Linked DNA regions of Neodiprion lecontei. The protein of the gene in region 2 purifies or fractionates together with the protein of the main gene of each other region. This does not show direct contact. Links are inferred from orthologs where the notes say so. Each region holds a gene or a part of one and is shown on either strand. Other genes may lie near its edges.

The links. The genes of interacting proteins can lie anywhere in the genome.
Region 1: the proteins of uncharacterized protein LOC107221552 (region 2) and pre-mRNA 3'-end-processing factor FIP1 purify together in Homo sapiens (affinity purification with mass spectrometry; 5 studies listed by BioGRID and IntAct, with this or other methods). This does not show direct contact. The link is inferred for Neodiprion lecontei from reciprocal best matches to the Homo sapiens genes WDR33 and FIP1L1.

The regions. Positions count from the first base shown.
Region 1 is NC_060263.1:23,862,785-23,874,576, reverse strand, and holds pre-mRNA 3'-end-processing factor FIP1, read right to left. Parts: upstream 6,641-11,792; 5' UTR 6,586-6,640; coding exon 6,415-6,585; intron 5,439-6,414; coding exon 4,521-5,438; intron 3,528-4,520; coding exon 3,199-3,527; intron 3,001-3,198; coding exon 2,880-3,000; 3' UTR 2,551-2,879; downstream 1-2,550.
Region 2 is NC_060263.1:39,485,761-39,496,120, forward strand, and holds the start of uncharacterized protein LOC107221552, read right to left. Parts: upstream 6,428-10,360; 5' UTR 6,147-6,427; intron 5,535-6,146; 5' UTR 5,391-5,534; coding exon 5,061-5,390; intron 4,896-5,060; coding exon 4,626-4,895; intron 4,134-4,625; coding exon 3,982-4,133; intron 1,071-3,981; coding exon 973-1,070; intron 339-972; coding exon 1-338. Other genes in the region: regulator of microtubule dynamics protein 1, read left to right, coding at 8,402-8,448, 8,700-8,891, 9,049-9,240, 9,813-10,045, 10,134-10,360. UniProt on the Homo sapiens protein: Essential for both cleavage and polyadenylation of pre-mRNA 3' ends.

The sequences.
Region 1 (11,792 bases), about 16 Mb from region 2:
GCGAGATTAATGTTTTTACAAGATATAAATGCTAAAAAGTTAAACAACGCCATCCTTAAGTAATCATTTTTTCAGTTTGTCTTACTTTTTTTTTGTTTCCTATCTTTCGGTCTTTCACTCATTTATATTTTCTTGTTTTTGACACTAATTGGTAGAATGAAGTGTACAGGAGGACAAGAGTGTTGGATGAAATTTTTCAAAGTAATACAGAAGAATAATCGAGTTGATTTTCTAATACATGAGACCTGAAAAAAAACAGATTTGGAAAAAGTTTAAGAATCTGATGTTTCTATATCCAATTCTACAAACTATTAACACTCTTAATACGGAAGGTGCATACTCAAGTGTAACACTGGCATGCAATCAAATATTCTTTTCCTGTACATTCTTGGATAGTGTTGGAGTGTTTCTACTACGATTTGGTCATATTTAAGTTATTTTGTGATTATTATTCAATATTATTTGCTGTGTTACTTAGCAGCAAGGCCTAGGCATACTTTTCATGTTGTGTCATTGGCGCATTCAGTGATGAATAACTTTCTTTCAATTATTTGTTCTTTCTTTTCAATTTTGTTCATTAAAGTTGCAACTGCATTTAACTCGGAAGACTTCAAGAAGTTACAGTCTTATCAGTTACCCTTTAAAGTCATTTAGTGCTGCGGGCTTCAGGGAAGCATTCTAAAAAATCACCTCTGATAATTATTGAAGATATAAATAATTCATTAATCAAGTTATAAATACTTCAGCATAGTTTTAAATAACGTTTGTTGCACTACGAAGGCAGATTGCGATGTAGATGCAGTTAATTAATCGTTATAATTATTAATTATGTCGTGTTTCATCGCTTGAGTTAAGTTCTTTTTTGTACGCAATGAGTACCTATCTTAGATCCTATTTATTCTCCTATTCGCCATTCAGCTCAAAACTAATTGCACGCAGGATAGTTCACATTGAAAAATCTGAATAAGGAACGTTACTATGTATATACTAAATTTCACTTAATATTTTACTTCAAAATAACCGAAAAAGAATAAACCAATTTTTAAAAAGCTTCTGAAAATTAATGTATCATTATATTCACAAGATCAATGCGATCAGTTTACAGAACTTATTTCGTTTTAAATATTCTGAAGTACATCGATAGTTAAATTGAAGAATTGAATTGGCATCTGATTTGTGCTTATCTAAAATCTTCTAAACTTTGATTCACATTTTTGGAACAGCAGAAGAATTCTATGCCAGAATCAACTACCCATATTTGTAGTCGTGGGTAGATGAAAAAAATGTTCCTAATAATTATCTGGTATTAGAGTATCTGAGTGCCTAATAAGTAATATTTCATTGAGAGATAAATTTTGTATATCCATAGAAACACTTCTAGAATTCGGTTCAAGTTCAATAACACACATGGTATAGTCGTGCTAGTTTGTTTTAATTCTAGCAGCATTTCATTCATAGCTACACACATGCTAAACACCTTGCATACACACACACACACAGACACATACACGTAAACATGCGTATTTTAAAAAATGGTAATGAATTAACGGTAATCTAAATGTAACATGTATATGATGGTTGTACAAATGTAACATTTTTTTCCATTGTGTATGATGAAGTTTTGGAGATTTAAAAAAAAACGAAGCAAAAAGTAACAAACAAAGAAATGGAATGTGTAGTTGGGAAAAAGACGCATGTGCGATAATCCACATTGTTTCGACAACAGATCGATCCATTGATTTAAACCGCAAGTGATTTACCGATAAATATAATTACTCTTAATTATTAATGAAGTACCATTTCTGTAATAACATTATGATATAAAACCATACATTGAATGGGAATTACTCACATCTTTTGACTTTAATTTTCACCTCTTATCCTTAAGGCTATTATCATTTACTTTTTTTGTAAAACAAGTCCAATCTCCATTGCAGTTCTGTATAAACAGTGGATGAACAGTAAGGCTACACATTTTTTATTAGTGAAATGACCGCTCCGAGTTACATGATTGTATTTTTGTATATTTTATTATTTATTTCCTAATCTTTGACATGTATATATGAGAAAATATTAACATAGTAAGATGTAGTAATATAAGATGTATAAATCAAATTCGCATGCACTTGCCTATGAAAAGCAACTTTCATGAACTATGCTTACATTCCCCTTAATATGTACATCAAACTACTAGAGTTCAAAGCAAAAGGCTCAGTTTCGATTAGGGTTTAATATAAATATCTTCATATAATGACTGTGTTTAATTAGAATTCCAGAATGAACTAGTATCCAGTGCTTTTCAATCAGCAGAGATGCTGGATTCCTCTAGCAGAGCAGTTAGTGGATTGTTCTTACAGGCAAAGAAATCAAAGAAACCCTGCGGCTTTCGAAACAGTGAGGTATCAACAGGTACGTTCAGCTTTAACGGTTCCTCGTGATCAATTTTATAAACTTTAACTACTTACCTTGAACTGGATTTATAATTTTGGATGTGCATTCATTATGAAAAAAATTTGGAAGGAAATTAGAACAAAATAGAGTACAGTTCACTCTGTGGTATCAAGATTTATTGTTGTAACTCTCATTCACAAAATGTTCACTATAACTCAGCGTCAAGAATATTTTCGTATATTTTTAATTATTCAAATTATAGCGCAAAAAAAAATGTAGACTGAACTCTGACATAAATTATCAGAATATCCTCGTATAATACACAATAATAAATCGTTGGTTTTCACATCAGCTTACTCACGTACTTCCCGTAATAACTGATAAGGAGAATGGATTAAAACGGTAAGCAGTATGGAAGAGTAAAAAAAAACCACTTGCAAATTATGTGTTATTGATAAAATCATACAGCTAATTGGAAATCAACAGGGCTATTCACTTTCTTCTTTGGAACGCTCCCGCTCCGATCGACGGGATTTCTTTTTACGCCGACTAGGACTGCGTGACTTGGATTTGTGCCGACGTGAACGCGATCTTGATCTGTGCCTATGCCTGGAAGGTATGAATAATTGTAGTATTTAAAAATTTCTTAAATATTTCCGATATTTGGAACATTGAATTATTTGATATTGCAATCCACAATCTACACTGAATACCACATTGCGGACGTTGAAGTTTATTTCATGTTGCATAAAAAAAATATCTGAATCACAAAAGATTGAAAATAAAACTATCTGGTAAAATAATTACCTTTCTTTGTGGCGATGTTGAGATCTCGATCTATCCCTGTCCCTATCCCTATCTTCCTCCTTCGAGACAGACTCCGTGTCCCTTTCTCTTGTCCGATCTCTTGACACAGACTCTCGTTCTCTGTCACGTTCTCGGTCCCTCTCTCTATCTCGCACCATGGAGTCTCTGTCCCTATCTCTATCTCTGTCTCTCGTTTCTCTAGAATCTCTCGGAGGTAAAAGAGTTGGTATTGCTATCGGCGGAACCATAGTAGGAATTGTTTTAGGGCCAGCATCTTTGTCTTCTTCACCTTCCGTTAATGGAATTGCAAGATTAGTTGGTTGCCATGTCTGAAATTTAAAATAATTTCAACCATCCACTAAAACAGCTAGCAAAATGTAACTCTATTTCTTTATTATACATTAGACAGGAAACATTTTTCAAGAAATGATTTTTTTAAAGAGGACTTGTCGAAAAATCATTTCGTATTGCAGCTTTTTACTAAAAACTTGGAGAAATACCGTGAATAACACAATTCGAAAAGTTGCCACTTATGGCTATTGCCAAGTATTTATTATAAGGTATCATCGTATTACTCATCAAAATCTTTTTAAAACAGATAAGGAAACTGTACGAGCACTATTTCAATCGAAGTGAACAATATATAGATAGAATGTGATTTTTCTTTGATCAAAAGTAATTAATAGATTTTTACTCACAAAAATGCAAAGTCACAAAATGATTGGTTTGGTCAAAATAGCATCATCCAAAAATAGTTTCAACGAATACAGCCAAGACTACCAAAATTTCGAACCTATGAAATATTAATGTACTTTATCTATCGTTTCAGCAAAGAAGCTGTTAAAAATACATGAATATATACCTAATTTCGAATTCTTAATATCATACTGCAAACATTTGTTGCAAGACTCATACAATGGGATTATGCATTTGAATATCTGTATTTTTCAAATCCAAAACTACACATGGCAATTTCTGTGACACAGCTATTTATCTAGACCGAATAGACAATCTAATCACATTTACTGAATTTATGATTCCTAAATTTTTTTGATGATAAACTCCATAGTTGAAACAATTCAAATAAATATATGGTGATTATTTTTTGAAATTCTGCTTGTGTAAAATTACACATGCGAATGTATTAATGAATTATTTATATCATTTAACGTTTTTGTGAAAACTGAAACAGAGATATCAGATTCGTATTTAGTATCGGAAAACTAATACAAAGGAATCAATTCAGCAAGTGTTGCTAAACAAAAAAAAACATTCAATTTTTGTAATATATCATTTCGACATGAGCAAGAAAAACTACTCACAGGATCATTTCCCCACTGGCTGTCCTGCGTAGGTTCGTAGCTTTGATAATAAGGATCAGTTTCCGGAATGTAAAAAGGAGGTGGTTCCCCGGCGTATCCTGGCGGAGGCATATCGAAGGGAGGTGGCATTCCTGCTCCAGGAGGAGGAACACTCATGTCAGGAAAACCAGGTTTTCTAGAGTATTCCCTTCTATCAGCAGTCATTACTTGAATAACATTTTCTTTAGGTGGTGATTTATCTAAGTTTCGTCTGGAGGCCAATCCAGAGCTTCCAATCACGTCTATAGTTCCTGCCATTTTGCGGCCAGGCGGTGGACCTGCCCTCTTGGGTCCCATGATCCCTGAATACTTACTATTATCGTTAGTAATTGCTACTTGCGGCACCCGGATTCCACCTCCTGGGTTATTGCCTCCTCCTCCTCCAGCGTTGAGTATCAACCCAACCCCAGATTCGCTACGCATTCGTTTTTGCCTTTCACAATATGCTCGCCATGTTTCTTCATTAAAACCGTAATTAAAGTAATCTGTTATATCTGCTCCAGGCTGCCTCCATGGTTTATCTTCAAGCTGATCCAAATTGAATTCGTGGGCAGGCATTCCATTGATGACTCCAATCGTTTCAAATTCATCGATGCTGAATTTTCCTGGCTGCTTGTTCAACTTATCTGGGGCACCGGTTGCAGCGGTTAGCATTCCACCGCGCTTTATATTTAGACTGCTATACGCCGGAGTGGATTTAATGTCTCCAATGACGACGTGCACATCGTCATCTGAATCCGAATCAGTTGCTGCTTCTCCATCTTCCTGGCCTGACATCTCTTTTGTTCCATTCTCGTTACTCTCTCTATCCGCATTACTTACTTCAGCCTCCAATTCTCCCATTTGATGGTTTTCTTGAAGCCCTGTGTCTTCAGACACCTGCAAACAAGTACAGTATATTTGTAAATTACTATGCACTGATTAACAGAATAAAATAAAAAAAAAATGGGGATTTTCTCTTGATTCAACTTTTCGAATATAAGCTGGCTAAGTTGCTTTTACTTTCTTTGAATATCACGGAAACATAGAATATTCATCATGAAGTACAAATGATGAAACATGACGCAGCATTGGGATAAAGGGATCATGGTCAATTTGATTTCTCATCCATGGACTTTTGGAAAATAGACCTTACTGGACCACGACCATGCTACTCGTTTCTTTTCTTGTTACATCCTAGGTTTCAGAAGAAATCCGTTGATCCCCTTTTACATTGTTATTGCATAATGAACCATTTTGACAAATTTATTTTAAATTAACCAGCTGGCAGTTTATTTAATTCACAATAAGCTTTAATAATTGAAAGACAGATATAATTAAAAACTTTTCTTGACTTTCACTTTCATTGTGAATGATGTTATCGAACAATGAACTTTCTTGATTCACTTGAACATTATCCGAAGTAGAATCCTGTGAGATTTTTCTTAATTTTCAAATTATTTGGAGTACTTTCCCATAAGTTTCACGTTAATTTTAGAACAGTACATTACTTGAAACAAATACTTCTTTTAGGCGTTTTCATGATTTGCCTTAAAATATCATCAGTTTTGTAGAATTTTGAATTTTGGAAGTGGAAAAGCACCGTAGGTAGCAATATCACGGTAAAATATATGCGATAATGAATCAAAATCTATGATTACGGCGAGGAATCAGTACAACTAACCTATAACCCAGACATGTTCCCAACTACCTACAAAAATAGATGTGTCAAAAAATGGACTCAACAAAGGATATACTGAAGCCATGGCAGGAAATTTAGCAGTTTAGTTGAATTTACGTTAATTGGCGACATCACGGGCCAAAGTAATGAACAGCAATGTAATAAGTCAAAATATAGGTTAGGTGAAATGCTTACTCCTGGTGGTCCGTCAGAAAAAGGTAATTGGGCACCCAAGACCAACGACTCTTGACATGAGTTGGGAGCGTCTTCATTTCTTGAGTTTTCCAAACTTGATTGAGCCGAGGAAACTTCTTTCCCATCTACCGAATCACCGTACAACCACTGATCCTCGCTTTCATCCGCCATCTTTCCAATCCCCGGCTATGCAACGGTCAGTACCACGGTCTTATATACAGGTCTGGCAACGAAGTCAATTTTCTACAGAGCGGTGTGGTTCTCTTGCTGTCCGTAGTTTTTAGTGTTAGAAATAGCCATGTCGCGACGCTGCTATCTAGGGATGTACGTGGGGAAGGAATGGTAGGGATGAAAATGTGCCAATAATAATAGTATTATCAGGTTGGCGCTGCATTGGAGGAAACAACCGATCAACAGTTGCGGACCTGCCATCAGATCAGCACAAATAAATTCACCTGTCTAACAGACACTGTATAAGGAAATAGTGAGGCGCACAGAAGCGAAGCCCCTAGTAATGCAAAAATAAAGAAATGTCATAAAAGAAATACATACAAATGCGCGAGAGTAAATTCGTAGAAATTGTGTCATTTCTTTATTTTTTCATTAAATGAAAGTGTTTGGGGTGGTTTTGTTCAGAATTTCATGTACAATGGGGCGTTTATGCCTTTTTTGCGATTTAGATACGGGGACTTTGATAATTCAAGATACATGCGACAGCGTCGAAACCAACTACGGCCCACCCTTGAGACTGGTGAGTCTCCCGCGGAGAAAGGAGCCTTGAAATACTGGAAATAGGATTGAATGTTCTAAGGATATGAGACCCTAGAAATTTAGATCATATTAGCGGATACGTGAATCTGAATAAATATTTTACATCCATCGCGATAAATAATAAATTTAAATTGTAATAGGTTAACGTTACGGTGTAAGTTTACATTGGATGAAATCCGACCAATCTAGTTGTCTATAACCAATGATCATACATGTATGCATTATATTCTATATCTGTTATATTTGTACTTATACATTATATACCTAAGACACTATACATATATTTCTTCTGTAACATCGTGCAGGCTTTTAATGCTTTGAAAGCATTAGATTTTTACTTGAAAATTATTAAACATTTTTCTATTTCGTACACAACCAATCACATACGACTGCGCCATTCAACTTTCCGAAAAAGAATTTTTACCAGAAATGTAAAGGTTTCATAAATTTTCAGAGCCGAGCAAGAAGGGGTCGACGGAACAGAAGAAAAAGTGTATTCCTCGCAATCTAATCTATATTTTGAATTTCCAAAATCACGTTCAATACATTTTAATACTATTCGTCACTTAACTGAATCTCCACAAAACGTCGCGTCCGAAGATTACACCAAAAAAACTTGTGATGTTCGGATACGAGGCATAAAAGTCCTACACGTTGACTGAAGAACATAAAGACGGATACCCTTGAGTAAATTTATGTGACCTGTTTTCGGGGGGCAAATGGGCCCAGGTGGGCCTAAGAGCGTATGTGGGTTCTGCTCTATCGATTCTACCTAACGAGCTTGCAACGACATTCGTAGCAGCCAAAGTAGTGTCGGAATGAAAGCTTGAGATTGGGTCGGTACAAAGTAAGTACGTGAGACTACTTGTCGACTGCGACTTATACGGCTGTAATATAAAAACAGAAGAATTATTCTATTCGACACGTGCTCGACGTATTCCATAACATTGATATTCATAATTACTGCAACAACTTTTCATTCAACGTTGTTTTAGTTAGTCGCAAGTGAAGTATCTACGTTGGGTAGATCAGCAGAATTGTTTTTCGAAAAGTGTTCGTATGGAAAAAAATTCAGAGTAACTGTGATACATCAAGGATGCGCTAAATTTGATGGAGATGAAATGGATGCTCCGTATATGAGACAGTATTTAAGGCAGTGTCCTGATTTAAAGTCATGAAAGGATGATTGTCGGTGATTTTTTTTTTCAAGGAAGAGATAGGACGAAGCTTCTTACAACTTCAAGTGTATTTTAACATACATTTGAAAGGTACGTGCATAAAGTGTTATGATCCAACTGTCGAAAAACGGCGGCGTTGATAGCTGACCCGTTAACGGAAGAATACATCTTTAGTCAACGGCTGACCATCGAAGGGCCTAGCCGCTTAAGTCTGGAATCGGCAGGAAAGATAAAGTGCGTATTTTCTGTCTGAAATGTGAAAACTAAAATCATTATACGTCATATCATATCATCATACGTCACACATCATACATCATCATGCATAGTATTAAAATTCGAAACCAAAGTTTGGATGCTTGGATGTTCAGAAAGTGACGTCAGACAAAATTTTTTTTCTCTTGACGTCATCGATCTAGAGTAATCAGCTAGCCGAATTCCTCAGTCTGGAAACCACCGCGCAATAGAGCGGACGGATGAAAAACGCGCTCCGCAGATTTCGGGTACCGGGTTCTCTACCTTCTGGATCCTGCGCTGCGGGTCCGCTTCCTGGTGCAACTCGTCTTCCAGGACAAGCGCTTCGCAGTTTCTATGCTCCAGGCCCGCTACCTGGTGAAACTCGACTTCCAGATCAAGCGCTCCGTGGTTCCTGCGCTCCAGGTCGACCAGCCGGCAAAACTAGACTTCAAGGAGAGGACACGGAGGAGGAAGACAAGGAGAACAAGACGGACGGGAGGAAGAGGAATTCTGCACAGTGAGTATAATATTTTAATAATATTTAATGGCGATTGTGATTCTATTTCATCTGAAAGTTTATGAACTTGTCATGTTTACAATAAATTATTTCAATTCATTTTTGCGCAGGCACAAATTCAGTAAATAGAAATACGCTAATAAATCTTATTATATCATTAATTGATTGAATAATTATATTTATCCTTACACAATATTTTTGATGTGTTCTTATACTGATAATATTTATTGCTATTCCAGGTACAACCCGAGGTGGTTATCGGTGGTTGTTCGAGGTGGTTGGCGATTGTTGGAGGTGGTCGGAGGTGGACGAGGAGGAGGACGAACTGAACTGAGTCTCAAAGCCCTGTTGACATAAAAGCAGCTATTTGACAGAAATTATAGTTTATAGTTTACACAGCCCATTGCATGATATTTCATTACAAATACATATGTTTCAATGTATTTAGGAATAATTTATCAAATATACGATAAAATTGATGCATCGGATCATCGTCGACTTTAACTTTTGAAATGTCCTACCATTTTCGAACACCTCCTACCTCCCCCTGCCACCTCCGACCATCAATGGCCACTTTCGACCACCCCCTATCACCTTCTGCCAGCGCCGACCACCTCCTAACATTTCCGAACACCTCCAACCATCCTATTTACCTATATTACCAGATTATCTATGATATGAAAAGAGAAGAATTATTCATTTCGAAATGGGATTCTATTCGGCGCACGCTCGATGTATTCCATAACATTAGTATTCATAATTATTCCAACAACTTTTCATTTGCTCTCTCGATCTTGAATTTTCATAGGCATAGAATCGAAACGTTGTTTTAGCTGGTCGCAAGTGAAGTATCTGCGTTGGGTAGAGGAGCAGAATTGTTTTTCGAAAAGTATTCGGATGGAATAAAATTCAGAGTAACTGTAATACATCACGGATGCGCTTATTTTGAACGAGATGAAATGGATGCTTCGTATATGAGACGGTATTTAACGCTGCGTAGTGGTTTAAAGACCTAGAAAGGTGATAGGAAGAGAAAGAACGACGCTTCTTAACACTTCGAGTGTATTTTAACACACATTTGAAAGATACGAGCGAAATTTTTCATCATCCAACTGTCGCAGAACGGCAGCGTTATTAGCCGACCCGTTCACTGAAGAATATATCTTCAGTCAACGGCTGACCATCGAAGGGCCTGGCCGCTTGAGTCTGGAATCAGCAGGAGAGATAAAGTGTGTATTTCTTGTATGAAATGTGAAAGCTAAAATCATTATACATCATATCATATGACCATACCTCATACATCATACATCATACATCGTACATCATACATCATCATACATAGTATCAAAGTTCGAAACCATAGTTTGGATGTCGGACGTTCAGAAAGTGACGTCACCAATTCAAAATCAGCTAGCCGAATTTCTCAGTCTGGAAACAACCGCGCAGTAGAGCGGACGCATGAGAGTCGCGCTCCGCAAATTTCGAGTACCGGGTTCTCAACCTCCCGGATCCCGCGCTTCAGGTCCGCTACGTATTTCGAGTACCGGGTTCTCAACCTCCCGGATCCCGCGCTTCGGGTCCGCTACGCGGTGAAACTCGACTTCCAGGATAAGCGCTCCGTGGTTCCTGGTTCATGTTTACAATAAATTATTTCAATTCGTTTTTCGCGCAACCCCAAATTCGGTGGCTGTCAGTCCGCTAATAAAATTTCTCGACTTCCAGGATAAGCGCTCCGTGGTTCCTGGTTCATGTTTACAATAAATTATTTCAATTCGTTTTTCGCGCAACCTCAAATTCGGTAGCTGTCAGTCCGCTAATAAAATTTCTCGACTTCCAGGATAAGCGCTCCGTGGTTCCTGGTTCATGTTTACAATAAATTATTTCAATTCGTTTTTCGCGCAACCCCAAATTCGGTGGCTGTCAGTCCGCTAATAAAATTTCTCGACTTCCAGGATAAGCGCTCCGTGGTTCCTGGTTCATGTTTACAATAAATTATTTCAATTCGTTTTTCGCGCAACCCCAAATTCGGTGGCTGTCAGTCCGCTAATAAAATTTCTCGACTTCCAGGATAAGCGCTCCGTGGTTCCTGGTTCATGTTTACAATAAATTATTTCAATTCGTTTTTCGCGCAACCTCAAATTCGGTAGCTGTCAGTCCGCTAATAAAATTTCTCGACTTCCAGGATAAGCGCTCCGTGGTTCCTGGTTCATGTTTACAATAAATTATTTCAATTCGTTTTTCGCGCAACCCCAAATTCGGTGGCTGTCAGTCCGCTAATAAAATTTCTCGACTTCCAGGATAAGCGCTCCGTGGTTCCTGGTTCATGTTTACAATAAATTATTTCAATTCGTTTTTCGCGCAACCCCAAATTCGGTGGCTGTCAGTCCGCTAATAAAATTTCTCGACTTCCAGGATAAGCGCTCCGTGGTTCCTGGTTCATGTTTACAATAAATTATTTCAATTCGTTTTTCGCGCAACCCCAAATTCGGTGGCTGTCAGTCCGCTAATAAAATTTCTCGACTTCCAGGATAAGCGCTCCGTGGTTCCTGGTTCATGTTTACAATAAATTATTTCAATTCGTTTTTCGCGCAACCTCAAATTCGGTAGCTGTCAGTCCGCTAATAAAATTTCTCGACTTCCAGGATAAGCGCTCCGTGGTTCCTGGTTCATGTTTACAA
Region 2 (10,360 bases):
CCCGTCGCTACCACCGCTACAGAAAAGTCCTTCATGACTAGGATGCCAAGCAACACTTGAAGCTTCTTTTTTATGACCCCTAAAGGTTTGCACTTCTTGACTAAGATTTCGCAGATCAAACAGTTTGAGTAAATGATCTCGAGATGCTGTGACCAACCAGTTTCCATTCTCATTCCACTTCACATCCATCACCGTTGATTTGTGCGCGTGTAGAGTAGCTAGCGATTGCCCAGTTTTCGGGTCCCACAACTTCACTGGCTGCTGATTATCTTTACTTCCAGATATAACGAGACTCTTCTGCGGATGCCAATGAACGCACTTTACATCCGCTCCGTGACCTGAAAAATCACAATTTAGTACCAATTGATTCAATCCAAGCCTCACGGTATAATACATTTAATATCATCAGTGCAGATTTATTAAACAATATGTCCACTGTTGCAGTTTACTATTAACGGCAAACTTTGCAGTTATAGCACATGGATTCCACATTATGTAAATAAAATTTAACAATCAACTTTTTAAATGCCAATGAATGGTTCTTTCCTTTTTTATTTCTACCAGCAACCCGACCAAATATAGTTATCACCAGTTAATCAATTTGAATTACTATTAATAATTCGTAACTAATCGGTATAGACATTTATATGTCGTAAGATTGGTCTTCCGACATTCTTTTCAAATTGTTTGCAATTTTACCGATATCCGGATTGAACCAGAATAAATAGTCTGAAATTATTTTATTGAAAGATCAAAAAGACGAAAGATTGACTGTTGTAAATCATTTGCCTAGATTTTTGAGTATACTTGAAAATATGGACAATTCAATCAAATGTGACACGTGGAAACAAAGTTTAAAAAAAAAAACAAATACGTTATTAATGATAATTAGCCATTATTGTTTGCAAATAATTATTGTTTTAATTACTCTTTCCAAATTACAAATATATTGTAATATAAAGAAGTTTATACCCCTGAGAATTCGTTCCTCGTGACATCGCAGAAAGTCCCAGATTCTGACGGTTCCGTCATCACTGCAAGTGGCCAGCTTGTGATCCGTAGGACTGAAACTACCCACCCAAAAAAACAAAGTTATACACACCAAATGCATGGTCATATTTATAAAAGAAATTCTTTATTTTTAAATCACATATGTAATGTAACAAACAAACGTTCAATAGTGATATAAAATAACGAAATAACTACCAATACCAAATTATTACCAAGTGAAGAACAAGAATACCCTGACATTTTTTATCATTATAATAAAGTGTAATATACTTGAATGTTAACTTTATTTCAATATTCCAAAAATACAGCATTATTGTCGGTTTATTGTTAATTTTTTTTTTTTTTTTTTCTTATTTTTTCAACCACAGAGCGTAATATTCACTAGTAAACGATTAAATAAATAAAACCTAACAACTTTATTCTGCTAAAAGTTTATGGTACATAACTTCTGGGTTATTGGTGTTTTTGGTTTCTTTATTTGCTCGATTTATCATGTTGTCTTTTCTTTTCCTTTTTTTTTCGAATTCTTTTAGTTCCTAATTCTTTACAGATGATAGTATACTAGAAGCAGGAAGAAGCAAGGGGTATTTAATTCTTTATTGAAATATGCAATTTGACAGAATTTCAACTCCAATCTGGTGAAGATCCCAAATATAGCACAGCTCGAAACGACTTGGAGGCTCGGACAATTGCAGTGAAGCAGTCACGGAGAAGTGATACCCATCAGCGTTGTGTAATTTTAATGTGGAAATGTTTTTTCGTTGCTTTTTTTCACTTTGCATGATAATGTGCAGAATATTATTTGACTAAAATTCCTCCAATCAGGATATTGTACCGAATATCGCTTAATGATAATTGACCAGCATCTCAGATTTTAAACGTCAATAAATAAGATACGATTCGAATGAAAATTTGAAACAAAATATGAAAAAAATAGGTAATAATACAACGAAATTTAGATTCAGATAGAAATAGGAGGAAAAATTATATTATTCAACCAAAGTAGCATCAGAATGTCAGGCTTGTTAAATTTTGGAGTTCATTGCAATAGGAACAATTGTAAATGATAGATTGTTATGTTCAATTTTCTTGCAGTGTCTTAAGTTACTGAAATTATTCCGCAGCGAAATGAATTAATGCAGATATCGGAAATATTCTCAAAAATGGATATTGAATGGAGGAAGTATTAGTAAATATCGCACTGCACGTGGAGAAAAGGTAGGAAATGTGTATGTGGAAGTGTTCTTGACTTAACTTAGAACTTTATTAAGTCACTGTTCTGAAATCTTGTTAATGTATCAGCAGAGTCCAAAATATGGACATGGTATATTTTCTAATAAAAGGATCAACTAGATGTAAATATTGTAAATAAACAAAAAGCCATCTCCGACAGTCATATCTGGCACTCAAAATACACTCTGCAGTTTATGAGCAATAACTGAGCTCAATTTGCACACGTACACAATGTGTTTTCGATGCCACATGACCACCGGAGAATGTACGAAAATTAGGTTTATTTTTTCTCAAATTTAACGTTTATTTCATAAAAAAAAACGATTAATGTGTACAGAATGTTCCTTCATTATTTTATTAATAAATTTTTTTTTCCAAATTTGTCTTTATTTAAGATAATCAGTTTTCTGAAGGACAAGAGCAACACAAAACAAAGGAAGATATATAATGATCATTCTTTATTAATGCAAATATATATGTGATAATATAGTGAAGTATTTATTCATTTATATTGATATTTTTGGATGATGTGAAGGGAGCTAGGATATTTTTCTTTATTATATATTCGATGGGAATCTCGACTGGGTGCTGCTGTATTTTTTCTTTAGTTTTATTATTATCAATATTACCATCTTCTCTTTATTCTACGATACATCTTTGCCCAATATCCTATCCTGTATACAAACTTTATTCCTGACAGCCATAAGGTCCCAATTGCGCTTCTACTTAAATTTCTTCCCGCAATTACACACCGGCATTGAAATATTACAAGACTTTGAAGTAAATGAACATAATTACAGGGATAGACTGGGAATAAAGAAATACGTTTGCAAGATAAAGGAAGCTCGTTTGCGTAAACCTATTTGAACTCTTGAGTGGAAATTTGACCACAAAATTATAGTGTGTAATTAATGTAAAACATCGGTAACTGTTCAGTATATGCAAAACTTCTGAGCCTGAGATAAAAATGGTTGAATATGGTCCATTGCATGCAAAGATAAGATCCCGATGGCTCTCAGAACAGGTAACTATACTGTAAAATCGAGGATCCATTGAACCTATCTATTCAATACATGCTGCGATTTCACCTGTGTTTCGCGTACTGCCCAATAATCTTTTCAAAGCACTACCTACTAGTATGTAACGCAAAATTAATTATACGAACAGATTCAAAGAATTTTTTTTGTAAATCAATCCCTGACCCTGATAAATGTCTCGTTCCTCACAAAGTCATGATTGATACGATTGTTTATTATTCGTAATACTTGGAAGATTCGAATGACGTTTTGAGTTTCATACTGGCCAGATTTTAATATGCTACTGTCACCTCAGTTCAGCTTCGTAGGTGTAAAAAAAAAAAATTCAAAAACGGTTGTTTGTAATCATAAGATATAGCAATCTCGACGCACATACACAAACCAAAGTACTATATTTGATCTAGTTAACACCCTGATTGCCGATACACTGGATCTAAGGTACAAACAAACGGAGACAGCATTAAAAAAAAAATGCTGAATGCTCAGATCATTGATAAGAACAGACCACACTAAAGAAACAAGAAAAACACTTCACCTATGTACCCAAATGAGAAGGTGTAACTTGATCTCAAACGTTTTACTAAATGGAAAATACATCAAAATGAAACCCACGTCCTGTGTCCTGATTGCTACATAAGTTAATCGGCCGTGAAGGACAGTGTCACGATAGATGTAAGGACTAGAGTGGTAGATGCTATACCTGAGTCCTCTAATAGCCTCTTTGTGCGCCTGAAACATCTTGACGTTGTTCATGTTGCTCTGCCAGTACTTAACGTAGCCTGCGTGGTCGCCCGTCACCATCCAGCTTTCGTTGTGGGACCAAACCATTGTACGTACAGGGCTGTCATGAGCCTAAGAAATGGAAGAATGAATGATTATTTTTTAACTGCCCTGTCGGGACATTTTACAAGGTTATTCCATCACATTAGGTTCATTTTTGACTAATTCGACACTCAAGAGGAGATGCTAATATTAAACCATATTTTGCAAATTTTCAATTAGCCACACCAAGTTAGAGATGTGTTGCTTATCTTTGCTTACTGACAGTTTGTTTATTTGACATTTTAAATTCAATTTTCTGAGAATCGTGATATTTGTTGACATGACAAGGAGAATGAAAAACCAAGCCAAGATTTTTTCATAAACGAAAATGACCTCTGAGAACTATATTTGTAACTCAGATACACATGGACATTGAATTAACGAATCTCATAATCTTTTACAGATAAAAAAAATAGCGATTTACGAGAATAGAGGCTGTAACAGATTCATAGAGCAAGAATATTAGGTCCATGTACTAATAGACTATCAAAAAAGTGGTAAATTTTCTTGATATATCCCCACCTGTAGAATAGTCTCAAAGTTAAAAGTAAGCCCATTCCATAATGTGAATTCGCCACTCGATGCACCAGTGACAAGCCTTCTTCCTTCGGGGGTCCAAGCCATGCAAAATATTGGACACCTCATTTTATTCGTTGCTGTTTTGACAAATTTTGTTGTCACTGCGTTGATTGGATTATCAACGTAGCTTGGTGGTGGCAGAAGGTCAGGATAATATATAACGTCAGGCTGAAGAGCTCTTCTGTCTCTGTAGTCTCGCTGCCAAACCCGATTCTGAGTAACAAAAAGATGGAAATTTAATCTACACCTACACGAAGAAGAAAGATGCTAGAGGTATTAGAAGCTTCAAAGGAGCAGCTGAACATTCTGACGAGATAAAAAAAATATGAAATTACAAACAGGAACCAAAGTAATTTGTTTATACGAGTAATTTATTACCTCCAAGGTTTTAATAATAGCAGCATTATAGTCGACCGTCTTTCGCATCACAGATTTCCTGAGTCTCTTTCCATCGAATTCATCTTGTAACGCATCTTGACCACCAGCTATAACTTTCGGGGCATGATAAGGTCGAAATGGTTTGAAAAAACCACGATTTCCATCTCTGTGAGTACCAAATCTGTGCTGATAACCTCCAGTCGTAGTATTTATAGTTGTTAAATTAGGAGGAGGTGCAGATAAATTCGGCGTTGCAATGGGTGGTGGAACCGACATGTTTGGTAAACTTATCACCGGGGGTGGATTGGCGAATTGAGCATTGACAGACATATTGATGGTTTGGAAAATGAAATAATTTAAATAAGTTTATCTAAAACCAAGGTCTCTTCTTCTTAGACTCAGATCCCGAGACATATTATAGAACAAAGTCACGAAATACATTTAACAGTAGTAACGCCATCCTTGCGATAATATCTGAAATAAAATTAAAAAAGTCATAGTTACAAAAATTGTAGGTTCTGCATCGTTGTGAATATCCGTAATTGATGATAAAAATTCGTAGTTGATAATGGATTGTAGAAGAGTGCTGACAAAGCAATAAAATAAGATGCAAGACATACTTTCACAGGAGCAAAACATTTCCTTTTTCATTTATTTTCAACTTCAAATAACAGAGTGAAATAACGAAATAACATGTGTTCAGTAATTGTAGAAACCCGTGTTGCAAACAGTGCCAGCACAGGTGCCTAACACTTGTATTTATGGTAAGAGAAAACTAGAAAGGAAAAAATACATTGGACAAGTGTTGGATATGTGAAAGAATGAGTAAATTGAAGAGGCGAGCGAAACAAACGTTTCGTCCCACAACGAAAATTTTGATGAAAGTGTATGTGCCAACTTTCGAAGCACTAGGGATATGATGACGCAAAAATTGTAGTGGGGATGTGTGGCATCGAATAACCATGTTTGAAGGTTAGTCGGTAATGGTGAAGTAAACTCGTGGCAGAGACGATTACTGTAGTGAATTTAATCGAAGTTTATGTCGGGTCATTGATATACATAATACGGTAAAATAGTGAGACCAACCTGCTGCAGTATCGTCACGATTATATTTGTCGAGGCCTACTCCCAGGTCACCACTTCGACGTACACAAAACACTTCAACGTTCTAAGGCCACAAATTACCAAACACTTTATTTACAATAATACTGCAAATATAGCGCCAAGCGAACACTCCCTGGACAAGCGTCATCAACTTTTTTGAAATCTCAACGCGTATAATACAGACTACGACCGACAGCTTGAGGGAATATTGTGCACGGACGCTAACGACTCCATGATAGGTATATGAAGACTGACGAAGACACTGCTGGACACTGCCTGCCACTTCCGGTTCGAAAATCCGGCGTTCCGCTCGGATACCTAATAATGTTGATTACTGCGACCTCTGTCATGTCAGAGCTGCGCACTGTAGCCGCAATGTATACGTGTTACGATGATGATTGGAACAATTAATACAGATCCTCATATACTTTCAGCGTCGATATCCAACAGGCGTTCGGACAGTTAGCATTATAATTTTCGTTGGCTAAAAACTAAAGCTATACGATATACAATATATCTTTCGGCAACGTAATTCTTGATTAACGCTCGGATTAACGGAAATGGCCGAGATTCGAGTTTTGTTCCACCGGTCCCGTTGTTCGCAATCGACGGATCGTTGGACGCCCAAAATCCGATTTCCGAATTTCATAAGTAAGTAAAATGTAGTCACGAAAACTATGAGCCGATCAACTGTCCAGAAATCGCTTGCTAATGTGTAAATGAGTTTGAAAGTATAACCAAATTTTTTTTTGTAAATCATATGCATCAGTCATTCGATTCATATGACGCGCCAAGAATGATGCTTTTTTGTTTTTCCAGCGACTTTTACGCCTCTATGGGCCGCCGGCGGAAGTGAAAAACAGTTGCGGCACGCTTCTTTCGCAAAGCAGAAACGTTCAACTGCATGTCGAAAAGGGCTTTTTGTGTTTTACAAAAATTGAGCGTTGGATAGATTGTCCTTGGTTTTAAAATAAGAAAGAAAAATGTCAGTTTGATGTGTGGTGCGAGGGGATTCACAACAGTATATACGCGATTCTTAAGACTCGCTGAAAACGCGACTAGTTGTATGTACCATGTAAAGGTGTAATGTGAAAGAGTCGCGTGCTGCAGTGTGCTGCTGGATAATTTTGATTATTATTTAGAAGAAACATGACAAAATTTTTGGCCTGTCTACAGTTATCTTTATTATACAGTTAATTCACCAGTTCCAAAAGTCGGATGAAAACTAACGAGAATCGTACGTTGACGAGTATAGTTGTTTACTTATTTTATACCCGTTTAATTTATCCATTATTCATGCCCAAACCTGCCTGTATTGCCATTGATTGATACGACTTTGCTGAAGAAATAATTCATACTCCCCTTTCGTGAAATTAGCACATGCATTATCACTAGCATTTTTGCCTATACTCGCGAAATGAAACATGCGTATGTAACGTACGCTATAATTGATCTGACCCAGTTCTACAGCTCAATGTTACTTGCCATGTCACTCTTCATAATTTATACTATACAAGACGACGAACAAACAAATTATTTTTTCCAACCCTGGCAAATTATTTCCCATTTTAACAGGGTTACAAACACCGATGTTGCCTGTTAATTAGGATAGCTTACTACGAAATGATTGAGGTATTTCAGTGCTGAAATTGCAAGGACGTATAAACGTGTGTCGAAACAATGTTTATACCGTTATTTCGCAATTTCTACTTAATGACGAAACACTCATAAGTCAAATACCATACTAATGACATGCCAAAATTTTGTGCACTGCATTAAGTTCATTCAATGTTGCACAGGGAACTTTAAACTGAGGACACTACGTTACAGTATCCATTTGAAACACAGAGTAGGTACAGGTAATGTAGTGTTTGACAGTGTTCGCTCTTTTAGTCTGCTGTCTGACAAATTTGATAAGCAAATATTGGTAAATCTTTCATCACTGTACATTCAAAAAGACCGCTCGTTCACTGAAAACATTAGATTCTTTGCTATGAATGCACATTACTTAGCTACACAAATTATTGTGAAATACAAATAACCAATGAGCTGTATATTGAAAAGGTGGAAATTTCCTCTCAAATCTTACGTATGATTGGTTGAATACATTTCCGCTTTGCATTAATGTACCTGTAAGAACTGTACGTAGTGTGAAGAAAAAACACTTGACACACGTTCGAAGTTCAAAGTCTAAATTTCTTCCAAATCTGTTATGTGAACTGCCGTGAGTTCTCTTTATGTATTCCATGAACCAAGAGTCCGTCAGAATGAGAAAAGCTCCCCAGTAATATTGAAACACAATTTAGAACTATATTTTGTGATAATGTACAGTATAACAATAGACAGAAACACCAACAAATATTTCCCACCCAAAATCACATTGAATACTTCAAAGCACGTGATGCGGTTTAAACATACAGATAGAAAAATTGCAATATCATAATTTTGTACAATTATGCCCTTGTATATATCTGCTTTGATTATTTCATAACTTCTTTAATTAATCATACATTTTATGTTTTATCCACAATTTAGCACCATGAGTGATATAAACTCTCCGCGACTGATTGCGACTGCAGTTGCTGCAGCGTTTGGCGTTATTGGGGCTGTGGGTCTGTTCGTGTACCAGAAAATAAGAGAACAACAACAGACCGAAAGAGTCAGACGAGATTTGGATAAAATGGGTGAAACTATGGCCGAACTACAAGCACAGTTGGATCTTTTGAGGTAGGCTCCTTTTAGTTGTAGATATTTCGATAATCACGTTATATCTAGCCCTCTGAAATACGTATAACTAATTTAACGTAACTAACAATAAAATTAAAAAAGTACAGATTGAAAGGTTATTGTCATTACCACTTGTATTTCATACTTGCCTAATTAGATTACAGCAAAATCAACGCAGGAATCGAGAAAGAATATCGCGACGAAAGCCGAATCTTAAAAATAGCAGCACTTATTCTGCAACAGATAATGACACTGACGTAGACGCCTTTTCAACAGCTGACACAGAGTTTGACGATGATGAATTCTTTGATTTCTCCGACATGGAGTCAGGCGATGGAGACAATGAAAGGTCTGTAAATTTAACAACCAAATAATGGATCGTAATCAAACTAATAACTCATATTCCATTTCAATACATAGAATAATAAATCTTCCTGAAAAGGAAGCAAAGTAGAAAGTACAAACTGGACTCCTTACCACAAAGGCAAGTCTTTCCTTTCACAAACAAATCTTTTGCAGTGATAAATGTTATCCGCTAATATTATCACAGCATTTTCAAATGCCAAAAGATTTCGATGGATACTTATATTGATGCACGCTAGTAAAGTAATTTACTATAAATAAATATGTCAATTTTAGTGCCCACTTTGTGTGTGTTTTTATTTTTTTTTAATTAGTTTCATCTGAAATACATGCCGCCGAATGCATTTTGTAATTGTACTTGATATTTTATGATTACTTCAATTTAATTGAACGTTTGATATTTATATTAATTGATGTGTACCAGAGGTAATGAGATACATTATATATTAAAGAAACGTGAAAATGCTTTCTTCGTGGCAAATTTTCACCGAGAACAGATTATATGCCACATGAATTATAGAAAGTTTAGCAGAAGAAAGTATATGTTTAGTAATGCAGGATCTCAGGACCAACAAACGAACTGGACAGAACGCTCGCTGAAACAGACAAACTAATTGAAGCATCGGAACTACGTCCAGGTAGCGAGTGTGAAGAGGCTCTTAGTACACTACGTAATCTACTTGTTAAATATCCAGATAATATTGAAGTTATATGGAGGCTGGCAAGAGCTTGTCACAGATGCTCCACAAATGCTACGGAGACAAGTAAAAAGCTCGCTCTTATCGTCGAAGGTAAGGATTTAAGAAGCAATATTCTCTAGTTTTTTTTCTGAAGTATCCGTGTATTCCAACTCCAAATAAAATTTTTATTACCCCGTAGGTCTCAAGCCTTGCGAAAGATTTGAAGAAGCAGACAGCGCAGACTTTCACAAGTGGTATGCAATATTGATAGGATCACACGGAATGTTTCTTTCTACTAAAGAAAAAATAGAAGGTGGCTACCGCTTCAAAAAACATCTCAACAAAGCATTAGAAATCAGACCAGAAGACCCGGTACTTCATCATTTATCGGGAAGGTTCAAATTTGAAGTTGCTGGCTTAACCTGG